Stegostoma tigrinum: one gene and its partner. Each later gene encodes a partner of the first gene's protein in a complex. Links are inferred from orthologs where the notes say so. Each region holds a gene or a part of one and is shown on either strand. Other genes may lie near its edges. The genes, in order: spg7 and voltage-dependent anion-selective channel protein 1.

Region 1 (10,524 bases):
TTAGTTATGTGTTCAAGTTCTGTCTGAAATAGACAATCGCATTACTTTGGTCTCGAGATGCTTCTAGGTAAAACCTTGACTAAGGCAACAGATTTCCTTTCCTAAAGGATATTATTAACTTTTTTATTGCAGATTGATTTAATTAACTGACTTTAAATTCCCTAGCTACTGTGATGGGATTTGAGCACATATCATCAGATCATAATCCCTAGATTAGTAGTCTATTAACACAACCATTATGCTAACATTCACAATTTTTAATTTGTGATGGAATAAATAATGAGGCAAATTTTCCCAAAGGCTGCCAATTTCAATTTTGACCATGTCAAAATGGTTTACTTTTAGGACAGGTAAATTAAAATTAAGTAGGATACCCTTCTTAAAATTGATTCTACAATCAGTGTTGTAAGAGCATTGCCTAAATTTGAGATAGCTTGATGCCAAGAACTTGTCCAAAAAATGTCAAGACATAAAAATAATAGACTGCAAAGGTTCTGAAAGTGTCTAGTTTAACAAATGTTTACTCATCAATTGGTCTTGGAAAAACTTCCTCCCTATTCCCAAATTAACAAGGATAAGTAAGTTGTGGTGCTTCTATCGTTAGTTCTGATGAAGAATTACTAGCCTTGAAACCTTAACTTTGCTTTCTTCCCATAGATTCTGCCACACTTGCTGGGTTTCATCAGCAATTTCTGTTTTTTCCTTCGGTTTCAGATCTTAAGCCTCTGCAATTTTTTGCTTTATTACATACACTGAGCATATTAGCTTGTGATGAACTGTTATTTGCAGAGATGGAGGATAAATATTTTTTAAAACGTTGAACAGTTTAAAAGAATTTCAAGTGTATTTTTTGCTTTATTACATACACTGAGCATATTAGCTTGTGATGAACTGTTATTTGCAGAGATGGAGGATAAATATTTTTTAAAACGTTGAACAGTTTAAAAGAATTTCAAGTGTATGGTTAACTGTCTGCACTCTAATGCCCATGAAAGTGACTTCTCCACTTTATCTTTGTTACTGTGGCTTTAGAAAGCAATAAATAGCCTATCAGTAATGCAATGTACAAAGTCATCTTTCTAGTGATTGTTGATCCATTCTGCAGGATGTTTCTCTCTTTTAGCTAGCGAGTATCCTACTATGAACAAGAGTACTATTCTTTGAAATTGATGAATTCTCAATGCCTTGAGTTCTGCCGCTGTACTCACATCCGTGCATCTGACAGGAAAATGTAAAGCCGAATAAACAAAAAAAGACTTGTATTCCATGAATGTGCAATGGTATGTCATGCCAACAACATAATTCCAGATTGGAGTGCCAACTAACTCTGGCAGCACCCACAACTCATCCTTGTTAATGTGGGATTAGGGAGGAAGTCTCTGCAAGACCAATTGATGAGTGAATGTTTGTTAAACTAGAGATTTTCAATATCTTTGCATTTTATTATTTCTATGTATTGACCTTTTTTTGGTCAAGTTCTTGCCATCAAGCCTTGTCAGCGATGCCCATGTTCCAAGATTCTTTTCAAATGTCATTTGTAATGGCAAATGATTTTCGTTCTTACCTCGTAGACATGAAGTATTGCCTGGGTGCTAAGGTGATGGCGGATCCAGGCAGGGACATTTGATATCATCTGCTCCAACCTTGCCTTGGTTTGTTTGTTGATGAATCTCTTAAAAATGCCCTCCTGGCCAACCTCCAATTTTCATCCCTCCAAAAAGTTAATATTATTTAAAACTCTGCTTTCCATGTAATAACTCATCATTCTATTTGACCTGTGCCCCATCTCCAATATGTGGATTCCCAGTCCAACTGTGCTTGATTTCTTATAACTTATCTGAACAGATTGATTACAAAATATCTAAATTTAAGGACTCATCTTCCTTTCAAAGTGAATCCATACGCCCATCTGCCTTCTAAGGTGGATATAATCAGCAAGAACAGATAGGTCGCCCATTTAAGGGCAGAGGTAGCTACTATCTGAGTCATAGGACAGGAGTCATAATCATCTTGCATGGAAATAGATCCTTCAGTCCAACCAGTCCAGGTCGACCATAATCCCAAACTAAACTCGATCCACTTGCCTGTGTTTTGCCCATATCCCTCCAAACATTTCCCATTCATAAACTTACATAAATGTTTTTTAAAATTGTAACTGTACCTGTATCTCTGAAAGTTCATTCCACATACAAACCATTCTCTGTGTAAAGAAAAAAAAGCTGCCACTCATGTCTTTTTGTTTTAAGTCTTTCTCCTCTCATCTTAAAAATATGCCCGCTAGTCTTCAAATCACGCACCTGAGGGAAAAGACAGCTGCCATTCACTTTACCTATATCCCTCATTATTTTGTAAACCTCTATCAGGTGACCCCTCAACCAACTGTGCTCCTGTAAAAAATGCCCCAGCTTATCCAGCCTTTACAACTGAAACCCTCCATTCCTGGTAACATTCTGGTAAATCTCTTCTGAACCCTCTCCAGCTTAATAATATTTTGCCTATAATTGAATGACCAGGACTAGACACAATATTTGAAGAGGGCTCACCAATGTCCTGTACATCCTCAATATAACATCCCAACTCCAATATTCAATGCTCTGAGTAATGAAGGACTTTTTAGGAATTCTGTTATCTACAGTGAGCAGTGCCCTGAGAGAGACGCTAGCTTATATTAAAATATATGTAATTCAATGATGTAAAATATCAAGCCAGATTCAAGTCCTGTTGACTTCTTTGCATTGCAGTCATCTTAACTCCCGCCAATGTGAAACCGCTGCTGTTTTGCATTGGTATTGCTGGCACAATGATGCTACCCGTAGGTTGCAAGAACAGCAACTCATATTCCGCTTCGGAACCCTGCAGCCCAATGGTATCAATGTGGACTTCACAAGCTTCAAAATCTCCCCTTCCCCCACTGCATCCCAAAACCAGCCCAGTTCTTCCCCTCCCCTCACTGCATCCCAAAACCAGCCCAGACTGTCTCCGCTTCTCTAACCTGTTCTTCCTCCCACCCATCCCTTCCTCCTACCTCAAGCTGCACCTCCATTTCCTACCTACCACCTCTCCCGCCTCATTGACCTGTCCGTCTTCCCTGGACTGACCTATCCCCTCCCTACCTCCCCACCTATACTCTCCTCTCTACCTATCTTCTTTTCTCTCCATCTTCGGTCCGCCTCCCCCTCTCTCCCTATTTATTCCAGTTCCCTCTCCCCATCCCCCTCTCTGATGAAGGGTCTAGGCCCGAAGCATCAACTGTTGTGCTCCTGAGATGCTGCTTGGCCTGCTGTGTTCATCCATCTCCACACCTTGTTATCTTAGCAAAGAAGGTTATCTCAGAGTACATCAGGATCTTGATAGGTGGGCAAATGGGCTGGAGAATGGCAGATATTTGATTTAGATAAATGTGTGGTGCTGCAATTCGGAAAGGCAAATTGGGGCATGACTTATACAGTTAATGGTAAGATCCTGGGGAATGTTGCTGAACAAGGAATGTTGATAATGGGAAATAATGGGACATTCAGTGATGGTAACACCAGTGAATGTCGAGGGATGATGGTTAAATTATCTCTTGTGGCATTTGTATGGTGTAAATGTTATTTGCCACTTGTCAATCCAAGCCTTGTATTTTAATATGGACTGCTTCAGTATCTGAGGAGTCACAAATGGTGCTGAATATGTGCACTTTTTGGCAAACATCCCTGCTGCTGACTTTATGATGGAAGGAATGGCATTGATGATTACTGGGACTAGGACACTACCCTGAGGAACTCCTGCATAGATGTCCTGGAGCTGACTTCCAACAACCACAACCGTCTTCCTGTGTGCCAAGTATGACTCCAACCAGCAGAGAGTGTGTCACCAGATATTCATTGATTCCTAGGGCTTAATTTGCTACGGCTCCTTGTGCCACACTTGGGTGAATGCGGTTTCGATGTCAAAGATTGTCAGTCTCACCTCACCGCTGAAATTCATCTCTTTTCTCCATGTTTGAACCAAGGCTGTAATGAGATCAGGAGCTGAGTGTCCCTGATGAATCCCAACCTGGATGTCAGCGAGCCAGTTATTGCTGAGTAGGTGCTGCTTTATATCACTGCTGATGACCTCGGTTCGCAATAAACAATTGCACCTCCCAGTCGCAAACCATTTCCACTCCCCCTCCCATTCTTTAGATGGCATGTCCATCATGGGCCTCCTGCAATGCCACAATGATGCCACCCGAAGGTTGCAGGAACAGCAACTCATATTCCGCTTGGGAACCCTGCAGCCCAATGGTATCAATGTGGACTTCACCAGCTTCAAAATCTCCCCTTCCCCCACCACATCCCAAAACCAGCCCAGTTCGTCCCCTCCACCCACTGCATCCCAAAACCAGCCCAGCCTGTCTCTGCCTCCCTAACCTGTTCTTCCTCTCACCCATCCCTTCCTCCCACCCCAAGCTGCACCTCCATCTCCTACCTACTAACCTCATCCCACCTCCTTGACCTGTCCATCTTCCCTGGACTGACCTATCACCTCCCACCTATACTCTCCTCTCCACCTATCTTCTTTTCTCTCCATCTTCAGTCCGCCTCTCCCTATTTATTCCAGAACCCTCACCCCATCCCCCTCTCTGATGAAGGGTCTAGGCCCGAAATGTCAGCTTTTGTACTCCTGAGATGCTGCTGGGCCTGCTGTGTTCATCCAGCGCCTCACATTTTATTATCTTGGATTCTCCAGCATCTGCAGTTCCCATTATCACCGATGACGGTTTCCATCACTTTACCAATTATTGAGAGCAGCCTGACGGGATAGTAATTGGCTGGGTTGGATTTGCCATGCTTCTTGTATAAAAGTCATACCTGGACAATTTAATTGCCTTAATTAGTTCAGGGCACCTTAATTAGTTTGTACAGCTTTAGATTACTTTTTACATTGGTTAGACCCTCAATACGTGACTCATACCTATCACGTTATTCCAGCCATTTTGGTTTGTCTCCAGCACCATCTGATTTTTAAAAGTTTTTGTCGTTATCTCTCTGCCTCAATTAATCAGATCATATGCCATCCTTTCACTTGCTAATCAGCCTGTAGACACGCCGCTCACAGCATTTGTATGATCTTTTGACTTCACTGCCTGTAAATTTTTTGCCTGTGTGATTATCTTCATTTCAACTGACACAAAAAAAACCCAGCACTCCAAAAACTTGTAATTCAGAATAAACCTTTGGATTATAACCTGCAGTTGTGTGACGTCTGACCATGCATGCCCACCCCAGTCCAATATCGGCACCTGTACACCATGGCTACCATCCACATAACGGATAGAGAATGAACTACCTCAAAGTGTGGTTGAGGTGGATTCAAAGGTTTCAAAAGGAAAATTCAACAGAGAGAATTTGCAGAGCTACAGGGAGAAGGGAGTGTGGTGGAAATGGTTGAGTGTCATTCGTATCAAGGCCAGGCTGACCGAATAACTGCCTTCTGTTCCGTAACCATGCTGTGATTCTAAAACCTGAAATACCCTTTGAATATTAATACAGTACAAGTAGTCATAAATTGAATACGTGCCTGTAAAGCCACAAATTGTTTGGAAAACTCAGCATGTCTGGCATCATCTGCGGGGAGAAAACAGAATTAACGTATCGGATCCGGTGACTCTTCATTGGTTCTAGCAATTTTTGTTTTTGTTTCCAATTTCCGGCATCCGCCTTTTACTTTCGTTCGGGGAATTATTGTTTTTATTTGCCTATAAAGGCAAATTGGTTTGAGAAATTGTAAAGAAATTATTTTTGATTGCCCAACAAAGTGTATAATTTTACTTCAGACAGGCCGACACATTATCACTGTCCTAGACCCCAGCCTGTCGCACTGCGCATGCGCTAGTGTTTCTGACGCGTTGCCAGGTTGTCAGGGAAGGTGACGGACAGTTGGTTCAAGATGGCCGCCTGGTTAGCCTGGCAGCTGCAGCAGCACAGTGGCTGTGCGAGAAATCTTCCAGCGGTATTGTGGTCTTTTAACAAAAAGTCTTTGCAATTTCGGACTTTTGCTTTGAGCGCTGCTTTCCCGAAAGAGGCCTTGAGATGGAACTTTGCCAGTGGAATTTGTGACTTAGGAAGGACGCGATTTGATTTCAGTAGATCCTGTTGTCATCAAGACAGGGATCCTATATTAAAGGTGAGTCAGTGTTATTTGTATTGCTTTTCGAAGAAATGTCGGGTGGATTGAAAAGAACTTCGATTGCTATTGATAATGATATGAAATAGGTGCACGATTTCTGTACTTTGTACGTAGTATTTGAAAGTGCTCCTTAGGCCGTTACGTAACATTAAATGACAGGGTAATAGGGGATAGCGTTGAAAATAATTTAGGCGAGTAGGACTGAAAAAACGTAAACTTCAATTAGTGGAAGTTAAATTTTAGGATAGAGAAACAACAGTTTGGCTCATCATGTGTGTGTTGGTGATTTAAAGTCTACCACCCTCCCTAATTGCACCCTGTATCGTTATGGAGAGATCCTAGGAAGAATTTCATGCAAATTGTTAAATATTGGCCACTTGATTAATCTGTGCTGACCCCTTAAAATAACCACTTGTGTACTGCTACTCCATTGCCTTCTCCCCATATCCTTGGAACATTTGATCTCCTCAGATAATGAGAAACACTTATGGCACAATGGAATGCCACTCTGCCCATTTTACATCAAGAATGAACCACCTAGCTTAATCACTTCTTTTAGCACTTGGTCTGCATCCTCCAGGTAATGGGACATCAGGTGCATACCAGATACTTTTAAAATAATTTGAGAGTTTTGCCCCTGCCATCCGTTCAGGCAGGACTTCTAGACTCCTACCATCCACTAGGTGAAAATAAACTTCCTCTTCTCCCTTCTCCTAATCACTTGATAGTAATGCATTCTAGTCACCGACTCTTCTGCTAATGTAAATAGATCCTGCCCATCCATTCTAAGCAGGCTCTCTCAATTTTGTACTCTTCAAAAAAATGCGTCCTGAGCTGCCTCAGTTCGAAGGAAAGCACCATGGTCTCCCAATCTCTTGTCAAAGCTTCAATTTTACACTCCTGGTTACATTCTTGTAAACCTGCCATGTACCACCTTTAGCCCATCTACCGTAATGGGGTGATCAGAACTGCAGTTAGTACATAAATTATGGACTAGCTAATGTCTTACCTAGCTCCAGCACAATTCACCTAATCTTGTACTAATAATGGCTAATGAAGGAAAACATTAATCTGCCTTCTTGCTATCTAATCTACCTGTTACACTGCATTCAATGACCCACGGATATACACTTGGCCTACACTTCTATGTCCTCCCATTTATTATGTATTTTTAAAATTTTTTTCATGGAATGTGTGCATCATTGGCTGGGCCTGTATTTATTGGCTGTCTCTAATTACCCAGAGGATCAACCATATTGCTGTGGGTCTGGAGTCATACGTAGGCCAGATCAGGACAGCAATTTCTTCCCCTTAAATATATGTGAGCTAAATAGTTTTCCCCCCAACAATGGTTTCATAGGCATCATTACTCTTGCAGATTTTTTAAATTGAATTAAAATTGCACCATCTGCCACAGCTGGATTCAAACCCTATCCCCAGAACATTACCTTAGTCCCTTTAGTGCAAATACTGTTAGTCCATTGCCTCCCCAATTCCTCTGCCTTGTTTGACCTCCCCAAATACATTGGCTCATACTTCTCCAGGATGAATACCATTTTTTTCACTTTTTTGCTTATTTGACCAGTCCATTGATTCCCTTGTGCATTCTACAGTTTCAGTCCTCCCTATCAACCATGGAGTTATACAACACAGCAACAGATCCTTTGGCCCAACCAGTCCGTGCCGAACATAATCCCAAACTAAATTAGTCCCAACTGGTTGCTCCTGGCCCGTATCCTTCCAAACCTTTCCTCTTCGTGGATCTACCCAAATGTCTTTTAAACATTGTTATTGTACCCGCCACCATCACTTCCTCAGGAAGTTTATTCCATGTGCGAACTACCCTCAGTGTAAAAAAAAATTGCCTCATGTCTTTTTTAAATTTCTCTCCTCTCACCATAAAAAAAGTGCCCCCTAGTCTTGAAATCCCCTATCCTAGGGAAAAAGCAACCACCGTTTACTCGATCAATACCTCATTAAATTATTAACTTCTATCAGGTCACCTCCCTACCTCCTGTGCTCCAGCGAAAAACATCCTAGCCAATCCACCCTTTCACACCCAGCAGCTTCCTAGTAAATCTTCTGTGATTCCTGTCCAGCTTGAGAGTATCCTACCTCTGACTGGGTGATTAGAACTGGACTCGGTATTCTAGAAGTGGCCTCACTAATGTCGTGTAGAACCTCAATATGACTTCCTAATTCTGATGCTCAGAGGACTGAGCAATGACGGCAAGTGTGCCAAAGGCCTTTTTAACTACCCTGTCTACATGTGCATATTTTAAAGTAGATCTGTTTGTTCCCTGCATGTAATTTGCATTCTAATATGTGGCCAATTTTTGCATTGTCTGCAAATGTCTTGATTGTGGCCCCTAACTTCAAGCTCAAGTCATTCATACAGACAACAAAATGCAAGTCACCAGGTATTGATACCACTGGAAGCAGTTTCCCAATTTGAAAAATACCCTGAGTTATTATACCTGTATCCTGTCACTGAGTTAATTTTGTATTTAGCTTGCTACATTCCTGTGGTCCCCATGGGTTTTTTAAAACCATTCAGCTATGTGAGTCCTTGTAAAAAAACCTTGCAAAAAATCACGTAGATCAGATTAATTGTGTTACGCTTGTTAATCTTGCTTATCACCTCGTCAAAAGATTCAGTTAAAACCAGAAGTTGTAGGAGCAGAAGTAGACCATTTGCCCCAGTGAGTATTGTCCACCATTCCCTGATGTCATGGCTAAGATCATAGAATCAGTTATCCAGCACAGAAACAAGCCATTCGGCCCAACTCGCCCATAGAACATAGAACAGTACAGCACAGAACAGGCCCTTCAGCCCACAATGTTGTGCCGACCATTGATCCTCATGTATGCACCCTCAAATTTCTGTGACCATATACATGTCCAGCAGTCTCTTAAATGACCCCAATGACCTTGCTTCCACAACTGCTGCTGGCAACGCATTCCATGCTCTCACAACTCTCTGCGTAAAGAACCTGCCTCTGACATCCCCTCTATACTTTCCACCAACCAGCTTAAAACTATGACCCCTCGTGCTAGCCATTTCTGCCCTGGGAAATAGTCTCTGGCTATCAACTCTATCTATGCCTCTCATTATCTTGTATACCTCAATTAGGTCCCCTCTCCTCCTCCTTTTCTCCAATGAAAAGAGACCGAGCTCAGTCAACCTCTCTTCATAAGATAAGCCCTCCAGTCCAGGCAGCATCCTGGTAAACGTCCTCTGAACCCTCTCCAAAGCATCCACATCTTTCCTATAATAGGGCGCCCAGAACTGGACGCAGTATTCCAAGTGCGGTCTAACCAAAGTTTTATAGAGCTGCAACAAGATCTCACGACTCTTAAACTCAATCCCCCTGCTAATGAAAGCCAAAACACCATATGCTTTCTTAACAACCCTGTCCACTTGGGTGGCCATTTTAAGGGATCTATGTATCTGCACACCAAGATCCCTCTGTTCCTCCACGCTGCCAAGAATCCTATCCTTAATCCTGTACTCAGCTTTCAAATTCGACCTTCCAAAATGCATCACCTTGCATTTATCCAGGTTGAACTCCATCTGCCACCTCTCAGCCCATCTCTGCATCCTGTCAATGTCCCGCTGCAGCCTACAACAGCCTTCTACACTGTCAACGACACCTCCGACCTTTGTGTCGTCTGCAAACTTGCTGACCCATCCTTCAATCCCCTCATCCAAGTCATTAATAAAAATTACAAACAGTAGAGGCCCAAGGACAGAGCCCTGTGGAACCCCACTCACCACTGACTTCCAGGCAGAATATTTTCCTTCTACTACCACTCGCTGTCTTCTGTTGGCCAGCCAATTTTGTGTCCAAGCAGCTAAGTTCCCCTGTATCCCATTCCTCCTGACCTTCTGAATGAGCCTACCATGGGGAACCTTATCAAATGCCTTACTGAAGTCCATATACACCACATCCACAGCTCGACCCTCATCAACTTTTCTAGTCACGTCCTCAAAAAACTCGATAAGGTTTGTAAGGCATGACCTACCCCTCTCAAAGCCGTGTTGACTGTATTTGATCAAGCCATGCTCTTCCAGATGGTCATAAATCTTATCCCTCAGAATCCTTTCTAACACCTTACAGACGTGAGACTTACCGGTCTATAATTGCCGGGGATTTCCCTATTTCCTTTCTTGAAGAGAGGAATTACATTTGCCTCTCTCCAGTCCTCAGGTACGACTCCAGTGGAGAACGAGGATGCAAAGATCTTCGCAAGTGGCGAAGCAATTGCATTTCTCGCTTCCCAAAGCAGCCGAGGACAAATCTGGTCCGGGCCTGGCGACTTGTCAATCTTAATGTTTGACAAAATTTTCAGCACATCAGCTTCCTCTAT
Region 2 (10,199 bases), on another chromosome or scaffold:
CTAATGACTCCTTCAGAACATATTCGCAACCATTGTGATGTTGTTTATGAGACAGTGAGAACAAAAACTAAAAGTAGCAGCAGAGCTCTCAACACATTTCAAGTTAGGCTACTTAAGAATAGTTTACTTTAGATTCTACAAATGATCATATGATAAGGAGTAAGAAAGATTAATAGTATTCTTCAAGTTTGTATTGTTCTAGACCAGGTAGCAATAACCTTCTATCTTGACCATAGGTTCTGCATACGCAGATTATTTAGCATAAGGCAAATTAAACTGCTTAGAGAAATGAAACTGTAATCTTAATGTATTAGCCACCTTTCCTAACTGTGAACTAATGAGAGAGTGTAATAGAAAGGGATGTTAAAGGAGTTGGGGAGTTGCATTACTGATTAAGGAGAATGTCACAGTTGCACTAAGACAGGGCATCTTGGAGGGCTCATCCAGCAAGGCCATATGGGTAAGACAAAGGAATAAGAAATTTGCAATCATTATAGTGAGCTATACTGTAGGCTTCCCGATAGCCAGTGGGAGATATGAGGAACAGATATGTAAGCAAATCATGGAAAGGTGTAAAAACAACAGAGGTGTTGTTGGGGTGATTTTAACTCTTCCAATAGTGACCGAGATTCCCACTGTGCTAGGGGCTTAGATGTGGCAGAATTTATTAGGAGCATCCAGGAGGGACTCTTGAAACATCATATGGATAATCCAATTAGGGAAGGAGCCATGTCAGATATTGTATTGGGGAATGAGCATGGCCAGGTGATTGAAGTTTCAGTGGGGAAGCATTTCAGGAACAGTGATCATAGATCCATAACTACCTTAAACCTTATGGAAAAGGGTAAGACTGGTCCTACGGTCTGACAAGATCTATCCGAGAATACTGAGGAATGCAAGTGAGGAGATTGCTGGAATCTTCGTATCCTCATTAGTAGCAGGCAAGTTCCCTGAAGACTAGAGAATAACCAATGTTGTTCCTTTGATTATAAAGGGTGACAGGGATAATCCACAAAATTGTAGGCCACTTACATCAGTGGCGGGGAAATTACTGCAGAAGATTGTTAAGGCCAAGATTTACTCATGTTTGGAAAGAAAACTGACTTATTATGAATAGTCAGAGTGGCTCTCTGCAAGGCAGTTCTTGTCCGACAAATGTGATTGAATTTTTAAGAGTTAGTGTTGAAGATGATAATGGTGGTAAGGCAGTGGATGTTGTCTACATGGACTTTACTGAGGTGTTTGACAAGGTTGCTCATGGTAGGCTTGATTGGAAAATTAAGTCTTGTGGGATCTGTGGTAAGTTGGCAAGTTGGGATACAAAATTGGCTTTGTTATAGAAGAGAAAGGGTAGTTGAGGAGGGGTTCATTTCTGACTGAAGGTCTGTGACCAGTGGTGTTCCAAAAGGATCAATGCTGGGACCTTTGTTGTTTGCAACATTCATAAATGCGTTGAATGAAAATATAGGTGGTCTGATTAGTAGGTTGGCAGATAATGTGAAAATTGGTGGAGTTTTGGATAGCGAGAAAGGTTGTCTACTGGAAACTGAGAAGTTGACAAGTCATGTGGCAGCTGCGTAAAACTTTAGTTAGGCCCCATTTAGAGTGTTGTGTGCATTAATTTTTGCCACATCCTAGAAAGGAAGAGAAGGCTTTGGAGAGAGTTCAAAAGAGGTTTGTCTGGATGTTGTCTGAATTGGAACAGATTAACTATAAGGAGAGGTTGGACAAACTTGCATTGTTTTTGCTACAGCATTTGAGGCTGAGGTATGACCTGATAAAAGTATATAAAATTATGGATAAGGTGAAATAGGTTTCAGGTGAGGGGGAAAAGTTTAAAGGAGATATGCGGGATACGTTTTTTTGTGCAGAGGTAGGCGCCTGGAATGAGCTGCCTGGAGCGGTGATAGAAGCAGATATGATAGCAACATTTAGGAGGCATTTGAACGGACACATGAACACACAGGGTATAGACAGATACAGATCATATGCAGGCAGATGGGATTAGTTCAGAATGTCATTATGGTTGACATATGGTGGACCAAAGTGCCTGTTCCTGTATTGTACTCTTCTATGTTCTAAACTCTAAGCTTAAACATTACAGAAGAGATTTACTGGGTTTTGCAGGCCAGTAAGCCATTAACTCTGAACAGATCCTGAAAAATTACAAAGGTGTCTTTTTACAGATGTTGGATATCTTCCCAATGAATATTATCCCAAAGTAAATGAGGGCGGTGACCAACCCAGCACCTGTCAAGAAAAGTTCCATTCTGAAAGACAACATAGAACTGCTTTAGAAGAACATTGGAAACAAACCTAGAAAGAAGATAGCATATATGGATCCAAAGGATCTCAACAAAGCCTTGAAGTGATATCATTTCATGGTGCCAGCCAAAGGAACATTGCTACAACTTATCAAGACGAAGGTATTCACTACCTTTGATTCTATGGTTGGTTACTAAGAAGTGAAGCTGGATGAAAACAAGTTTTTTTTAAAAACTTTTAAAACTCTGGATGCCATCTGGGAGAGATATTTACATGCATATGCTGTTAGGCACTTGCATTGTCCCAAAAGAGTGTCAATGCTGACAACGTGAGATTATCAGTGACCTTAATGAAGTGCAAGCAATTTTTGATCATATTGTGGAGACAGAACGAAAGAACCCATCACAGATTACGATCAAAATCTGGTGTAATTGCTAGTGTGCTCGCCAGGTGCCTGAATCTGAACAAGAAGATGCAATTGAAGATGCCTGAATTCAAGTACTGTACTGACAGTAAATGCACTTTGCCTGGAACCTGACAAAGTGAGAACTATTTGGGAGAGGCAAGCTGAGAGTGCACTCTGGCCACAACTGCTCTTCCTCAAACTGCTTCTATTCGCAACAAAGAATGCGACTAACTTTGCGAAGATACAAGTTGGGCATGAAAATATAAGCAAGGGAAATGGATATACACTCTTCTGTTGAGAGCTGCATTCTTAATTAAGAAAGTTGAGAATGCTAATGCAGAGGGTGAAATCTTCCAGCTTCAATATGGAGCAACTGTTCTAGAAATCAGCAACCCAGCAGAGGCAATGAATCTGAACTACAAGGGTCTTACTCAAATAAGGTGAATTATACACAAGATGTAACTCTCCAAATCCTGCAGGAAGCAATGATGAAAAGATGGCCTGAAACCATGAAGGACACAGATGTAGCTGTAAGACTATTTGGCATAGAGAGACAAAGAAAGAGCCCAGTACGGCATCTGGTACAAACCAAGTAGTCATTATCCTTAAGGAAGTGAGAAGTATACTGAACCGCATCCATGCTAGCCATCAAGGGATTGAGTCTGGTCTGAGGAAGGCAAGAAAAGCGCTCTACTGGCCAAACATGAACAATGATTACGAACTAAAACCAACACAACGTTTGTAACAAATACCAAGGTCAGCAAGTCAGGGAGACACTGAGGACACATGACATCCGAGGCAGACTATGGGTGAAGCCTGAAGTAGATGTCTTCACTGTTGCAGTGACTGATTACTTTGTTATCATCGATTACTATTCTGACCACTGGAAGTTTGACCAGCTGGTGTTCATGATAATCAGTGAGATTGTAGAATGCCTGAAAGCACTTCAGTCATTACAGTATTCCAGATATTGTCATGAGTAACAATGTTACTCAGTGTTCAGTTGTTTCATAAAGAATTAGAAAATTCAAAAGTATACAATTTCATGCCATCCTGAGTAAAATGGAAAGGTTGAAGCTGCAGTTCAATGTATCAAAGGGATCACAAAGAAATTGAGAAAATTCAGCAGAGTTGTATAAGGCAATCCTTCAGCAAAAAAATACATCAACTGAAGGCACAGAAAGTCACCCAGTCCAAAGATTATTATTATGCACAAAAATTCAAGGTGAAATGGCGGAAAACCAAATTTGACCAAACCAGTTAAAACTGCCAAGGCATGACCAGAGCTGAGTATTAGAGAACAAGTCAGTGTGTAAATCTTCGGCGCTTTCAATAAAAGTCAGCCTAATTACTAAGTTGGGACCTGTGACGAGCAGTTGTCATCTCAATTTGTTCAAGGGAACATGCAACATGCATGTACAACTAGAGAAGTTGTGCATTCACAGGAGGCAATGGATCAGGAAGAATCGATTTCATTATCTACAGAATGGGCATCACTCCTTGAGAGCCACTGTTACCCAGCAACAGAAACGGATTCACAACAAGAGATATCAGGGCAACAGCATCACCACAGGAATGGAACTCCCTGGACAAGCAGTATCAACATTCGAACGAGCACATATCACAGGATCAGCCAACGACAAAGCACACAGAGAATAATGGGACTTGCAAAACGTAAAGACTGCTATTGCAATGCGTACGTAGAGACCGAATGAAGTGACTAGAGTCAGCACACATTATTGTTAATGAATGATAGGTTTATTGCTCACCACGTCTATCGCGGAACTTTCAATTGCAATGACTGTGCGAAAAAGGAACGTTCGAAAAAATGGCATCAGACCGTCCTCCCTGGACTGACATATCTCCCCCCTACCTCCCCAACTACACTCACCTTTACTGGCTCCATCCTCGCCTCTTTAGCTTGTCTGTCTCCCCTCCACCTATCTTCTCTATCCATCTTCGATCCGTCTACCCCTCTCCCCCTCCCTCTTTTCTGATGAAGGGACTAGGCCCGAAACATCAGCTTTCCTGCTCCTCTGATGCTGCTGGGCCTGTTGTGTTCATCCAGCTCTACACCTGGTTATTTCGAAGAAATGTAATTGTGCCCTCACTCTATCAGCTGGCTTGCCACAGTCAGGTAACGTCTACCCATTCTGCCTATGTGAGGAGTCCGTGAGTAACATTAGACATATCCCACTTGAGCCAAAATAAATTCTAAAATAGTAATTTCTCATTTGCTCATACCGCAATGCTTCAGCCCTGTCCGACTTCTCTGCTGAAACTCCACCTAGGAATCATCTCAACCCATTTACGAAATACTTCATCGAAAGCAGGAACACGCCCCTTCTCACTATGCCATTGCGAAGCCAACAGTCGGTTTATTCATAAGCACATGTGTCTCCAGCAGGGTGCAAACGTTGTCACTGACCAGTTGAAAATGTGCCGCAGCAGCGCTCAGTCATTGATAATGGGAACTGCAGATGCTGGGGAATCCAAGGTAACAAAGTGTGGAGCTGGATGAACACAGCAGGCCAAGCAGCATCTCAGGAGATTCAAAATCTCCCCTTCCCCTACTGCATCCCAAAACCAGCCCTCAGTAGAGGAAGGGGAGATTTTGAAGCTCCTGAGATGCTGCTTGGCCTACTGTGTTCATTCAGCTCCACACTTTGTTATCAGCACAACAGTCATTCCCTGGAGCCGCTCCCCTCCGTCGCCGCCCCTCACTGCGCACGCGCCGCCGTTCGCCCGCCCCCTCCCCTTGACTGCGCACGCGCCGTTGACTCCACGTCCCGGGGCATCAGCGCATGTGCAGTCGTTCCCTTTCGGTCAGTGTGTGCTGCTGAGTTGTTCGTTTGGAAATTGTCGGCTGGAAGCTTTCCCTCCCAGCTCTTCAGAGGTATGTTTGTGTAACACCGGCGAGAAGAGGACATGTCAGGTAGTCTATGTTCACAAGGAGAGAGGCGGGAGTGAAAATTCTGGACGTTGCTGGAAAGGGATTTGAGTTTAAAGGCCGGGGCTGGGAGTAGGTGGATGGCATCATGTTTGCCTGTTCTTCTCCAGGGTTACGGTCCGTAATCTACCTCTCTGCCACGAGGTTGAGTCCATGGAATAGCAAAGCTCGTTGAAGGCGTTAACTTATATTTCTTGAGTAGAATCCATGCGTTTGTCTCGCTGGAGTCTGTTGAATGGCGGGTGGAGAGTGACCTTTACCAGCATGCAAGGTTGGGGCACTGACAGCTCTTGCATGTCCTTTGGGCAAAGGCTTTGTAACGCTGTTTGTAGGTAACGCCGCATTTGCAAGCGATCTTCTTTCTGCTTTGTAATAAAAAAGTCTTCCATGTCCGATTTAACATGTATTTTACTTTAATTAGGAACTCTAGTCATAACTATACTCGAGCCTGGCCGTTTGTACCCAATGTGCTGAATATATTTTAGCAACATGTGAAAGCCATGCCAATTTGGAAAGGGCAGTAGTTCCCCACATGTCCTAGGGCTAGAATGACATTTCAAAATGTTCATGTCACAATCTTAGGTTGAAACTTTGAGGCGAAGATATTATGCAAACAGTCTCAAAATTCTCTTCATAGAGAGCACTTGCCTTAGATGCTAAACATTTTCACAACTTCATTAACTCTAGTGTCAGTAATGAACCCTCAGACTGATGAGTATAGATAGTAAACTTTTATTTGATATGTTTAGGGCATTAATTTATTCTTGATATTCATGTAAAAATGGCACTACATGTATTCAGTATCATTGAACATGACTTTCATGCCTGTGTAATGGGGAGAAGGCTGCTCCTCAAATGTTGGCCTTTGCTTTGTAATTTGAAAAACACAATGATAAGGAAACAAATATCAAGCATCAAAATAAATATGCATTGCCTTTCAAGCTTGTTTCCAATATTATGTTTTTAAATGTTGAAAAGTGAGTCTGTTTTGGTTACATGTGCTGTTGGGATTCTTTACCCTAAAAGTTGAGGCATTGCTTAGCTGGGAAGTGATGCTTGGTCTTAAATCAATAAAATATTATACAATCTTTATCCATCTGTTCATATGTTTGAGAGTTTTCTGTACTTGTCCTCCCTTGTGTCAGTTTCCTGAAATAAAACTGCATGAGGACATTGAAGAGCTACTTCAAATTTTCAGAACGTTGTGGTAGGTACTCCTTCAACTTCCCAATGAATTTAATTTTCATGCAAAATGGGATGTTAACTATCACAGAGCGATTATTTTGTAAGCCAGAATTAAATTGTCAAATGATAATTTGTAAGGATTGTGTGGATATCATGTTGCAACTAACCAAGTTGCTACATCCAGTTTATTTTTCATTTTTTGATCTGGGTGTTACTAAGTAGGTTAGAAATATTTCCCTTTTCAACTTGTTGGGAAATGTGATAAAAGGCTTTCATTTTGTAATACTGCATGGTGTTTGAGTCAACTGATTGAGTTGTGATGCCACTTGTTGGAAGTTCACAGTGACTCAAGTTGGTATGGAAATGAATCTACCTACGCAAGTCAGGAGAGGTAAGAACAGAAAACATTTCTTAAAGATGTTACTGAAGCATTTGTTTTTTTCTTTAAAAATGGCAGTGGTACAGTTACTGATACCAGCTTTTTAGTTCCATGCTTTTGTATAAGCTGAATATATGTTCTTCATGCTGGCATGGTATTTAAACAAATGATCTCTGGATTATTAGCCTAGAACCACAGACTATTAGTGTCTACCATTCTAGTATATATACCTATGCAGATATGTTATTGCACTACAAATGCACCACAATTATTGAAAAAAAGTTAACTGCACTGAACACTCTTCACACAAACTCATTTCGAGTCAGGTCCCTTCTTCAGAAATGTCAAGTTCCCTGCTCCTCTGCTGCCTGGCCTGCTGTGTTCTTCCAGCATCTGCAGTTCTTGCTATCTCCGCACATGAAACTCAGCCTGTTTTCTAAGCACAGTACTTTTTTACTTTTGCATTTTCTGGTTTGATGTGTTTTCTTTCTACCGCATGCCAACCAGGCATTCAGGCAGATGACTTGTCCTGAAGCCCATATCAATAATATTGTATAACCTGTTGCAATTTGTGCATAAAAGTAGCATGGGATTTTTCCATCTGCTTGACAGGGCAGATAAGACTCGGTTTAACAGTGTAACCTCCAGCAGAGTAGTATACCCTCTGCACCACATTGAAGTGTCAGCTTAGATGATGTACGTAAAACAGGATATAAGAAATTGAAGTAGAAATATGCCATTTGACCCCTCAAACCTGCTTTAATATTCAGTAAGATTGGGGCTGATTTGACATAATTTTAACTCTTTTCTCCGAGCCCCCATGGTCCTTCTGTGAATCAAAAATCTTTAGTTCAGTTTCAAATCTTTTTATTGACCCAACCTCCATTATTTGCTGAGGTGGAAAGCTCCAAATACCAGCAACCTTCTGAGAGGAGAAATTCTTCCTTACCTTCATTTCAGATAGGAGATTTCTTATTTTTAAATTTTGCCCCTTAGTTCTAGATTCCCACAAGGGAGTCCTGCCACTGCCATGTCAAACCCTGTCAGAATTTAACAAGGTTCAATTAGATTACCTCTCATTCTTCTAAATTCAATGAGCAAGGGGCCAATGTGCTTATCTTGTCTTCCATAAGTTAAACCCTTTATCCAAGAATCAGCCGTGTAAGCCTCCCCTGAACTACTTCCACTGCAAATATGCTTCTCCTTGAGTAAGGTGCAGAACTGTACACAATATTGGAGAGAGTAGTTTCAGCAGTACTCTGTACAGTTGTATCAAAATGCTCTACTTTTATACACTTTTTCTTGCAGTAAAGACTAGCATTCCATTTGTCTTCCTAATTATTTGCTGCACGTTTATGCTGACCTTTTGCAATTAATGTACAAGGATATTATAATCTCTCTTCCCTGCAACATCATGCAGTCTCCTGTATTTCTATAACACTGTGCTTTCATTCCTGTTGCAATACTAGATAAACTCTCATTTTCCCCACATTATATTCACTCTGCTAAATTATTGTTCACTCATTTAACTTGTCTATATCCCTTTTCAGAACATTTGTATTCTCATCACAGATAACAAAGTGTGGAGCTGGATGAACACAGCAGGCCAAGCAGTATCTTAGGAGTACAAAAGCTGATGTTTCAGGCCCCGGGAAGGATCTAGGCCCGAAACTGAAGTCTTTGTGCTCCTAAGATGCTGCTTGGCCTGCTGTGTTCATCCAGCTCCACGCTTTATCTCGGATTCTCCAGCATCTGCAGTTCCCATTATCTCTGTATCCTCATCACAGCTTGTTTTCCTATTTATCTTCAAACTGTATTGTAATCAAAGTTGCTTTCAGTCGCATATAGTTTAGATTTGTTCATCTCTGGAACCAGTCTGCTGACTCTGGCAAAAGAGCTGCCACTATGTTAAGGGTGGTAATATTAGCTGTGGAATAATACAGATGCAATGGCATTATTCTGTAGTTACGAGAAAATTTAAGATACTTATTATAGTGTAACTTTGGAGCATTGTATATATTATCAGACTAATTTGTTTGGACTTATGAGACTGGCAGACTGTTTATGAAATATGGTGTTCCTAGGATATGCAGGACTTGCATCTTCTCAGTTTAAGAACATAGTATAACAAACTGACAAATTAATTGAGACTGTCACAATCCATCCAATAACTTCAGTTGAACAGGTGACAGGCACTTAAGCATTCATTAAAGGCATCACCACAAGGTAAGTGACTGTCACAAGTTACAGATACGGTGTAAGTGATTGTTTCCTTTAATCTTAGGTAAATCTGTGGACAAAAAATGGAAAAACCTTTTTACTTCACAGGAAGCATAATGGTTTCTTTAAACTTTGTGAAACATCACAGAATTTTCCTGATTATATGTAGCAATGCATTGAACAGGATTAGGGAAAGGAAGGTTAAGTGCAAGATCAGCTCAAACTAGCACATTTATTTGGAAATGCCTCTTGGGTCTTTCAGACTAATATTGCATACATAGGTCATGAGATTCTATAATGTTGCAAATGATTATATGAAGTGAGAACACCTGATGATTGACTTAGTAGTGACTTTGAATGGTAGAACTCAAAGTTAAAGATGATCTTTATGCCTGGAAATGGTAAAGTAGGAATTTTTTAATGAGTAATAGTGAATAGTAAGTAGCTTGTTACATACTCCACTAATCAAAACCCTGTGACTGACATAATTTCACATTGTGTATTTTATTTTCTGACATCCATGCTCTGATGATATTGATTAAATAGTTATGTAAGAATGGAAAATTAGGGAATTCTAAATGTTGTCAATGGCCATCAACTACTCAGCAGAATTTCTCAATTATTATGCTAGATAATGGAGATTACATTATATAAATCTGTTTGCTGATAGTTCCTTAGTATTTTTGTATGAGTACCTTTCAGATGCTGGATAATGTGATTTACTTTGTAGAAGGATTATAGAATTTTAGTAAAAGGCTTCACAATTGAAAAGGAACATTCCTTGCTTGCGACTG

Evidence for each region.
Region 2: spg7 (region 1) and voltage-dependent anion-selective channel protein 1 share a complex: the UniProt entries of both Homo sapiens proteins name them as parts of the mitochondrial permeability transition pore complex. The link is inferred for Stegostoma tigrinum from reciprocal best matches to the Homo sapiens genes SPG7 and VDAC1.

The regions. Positions count from the first base shown.
Region 1 is NC_081369.1:39,396,780-39,407,303, reverse strand, and holds the start of spg7 (paraplegin), read left to right. Parts: upstream 1-5,882; 5' UTR 5,883-5,913; coding exon 5,914-6,150; intron 6,151-10,524. UniProt on the Homo sapiens protein: Catalytic component of the m-AAA protease, a protease that plays a key role in proteostasis of inner mitochondrial membrane proteins, and which is essential for axonal and neuron development.
Region 2 is NC_081366.1:29,522,754-29,532,952, reverse strand, and holds the start of voltage-dependent anion-selective channel protein 1, read left to right. Parts: upstream 1-5,456; 5' UTR 5,457-5,567; intron 5,568-10,199. UniProt on the Homo sapiens protein: Non-selective voltage-gated ion channel that mediates the transport of anions and cations through the mitochondrion outer membrane and plasma membrane.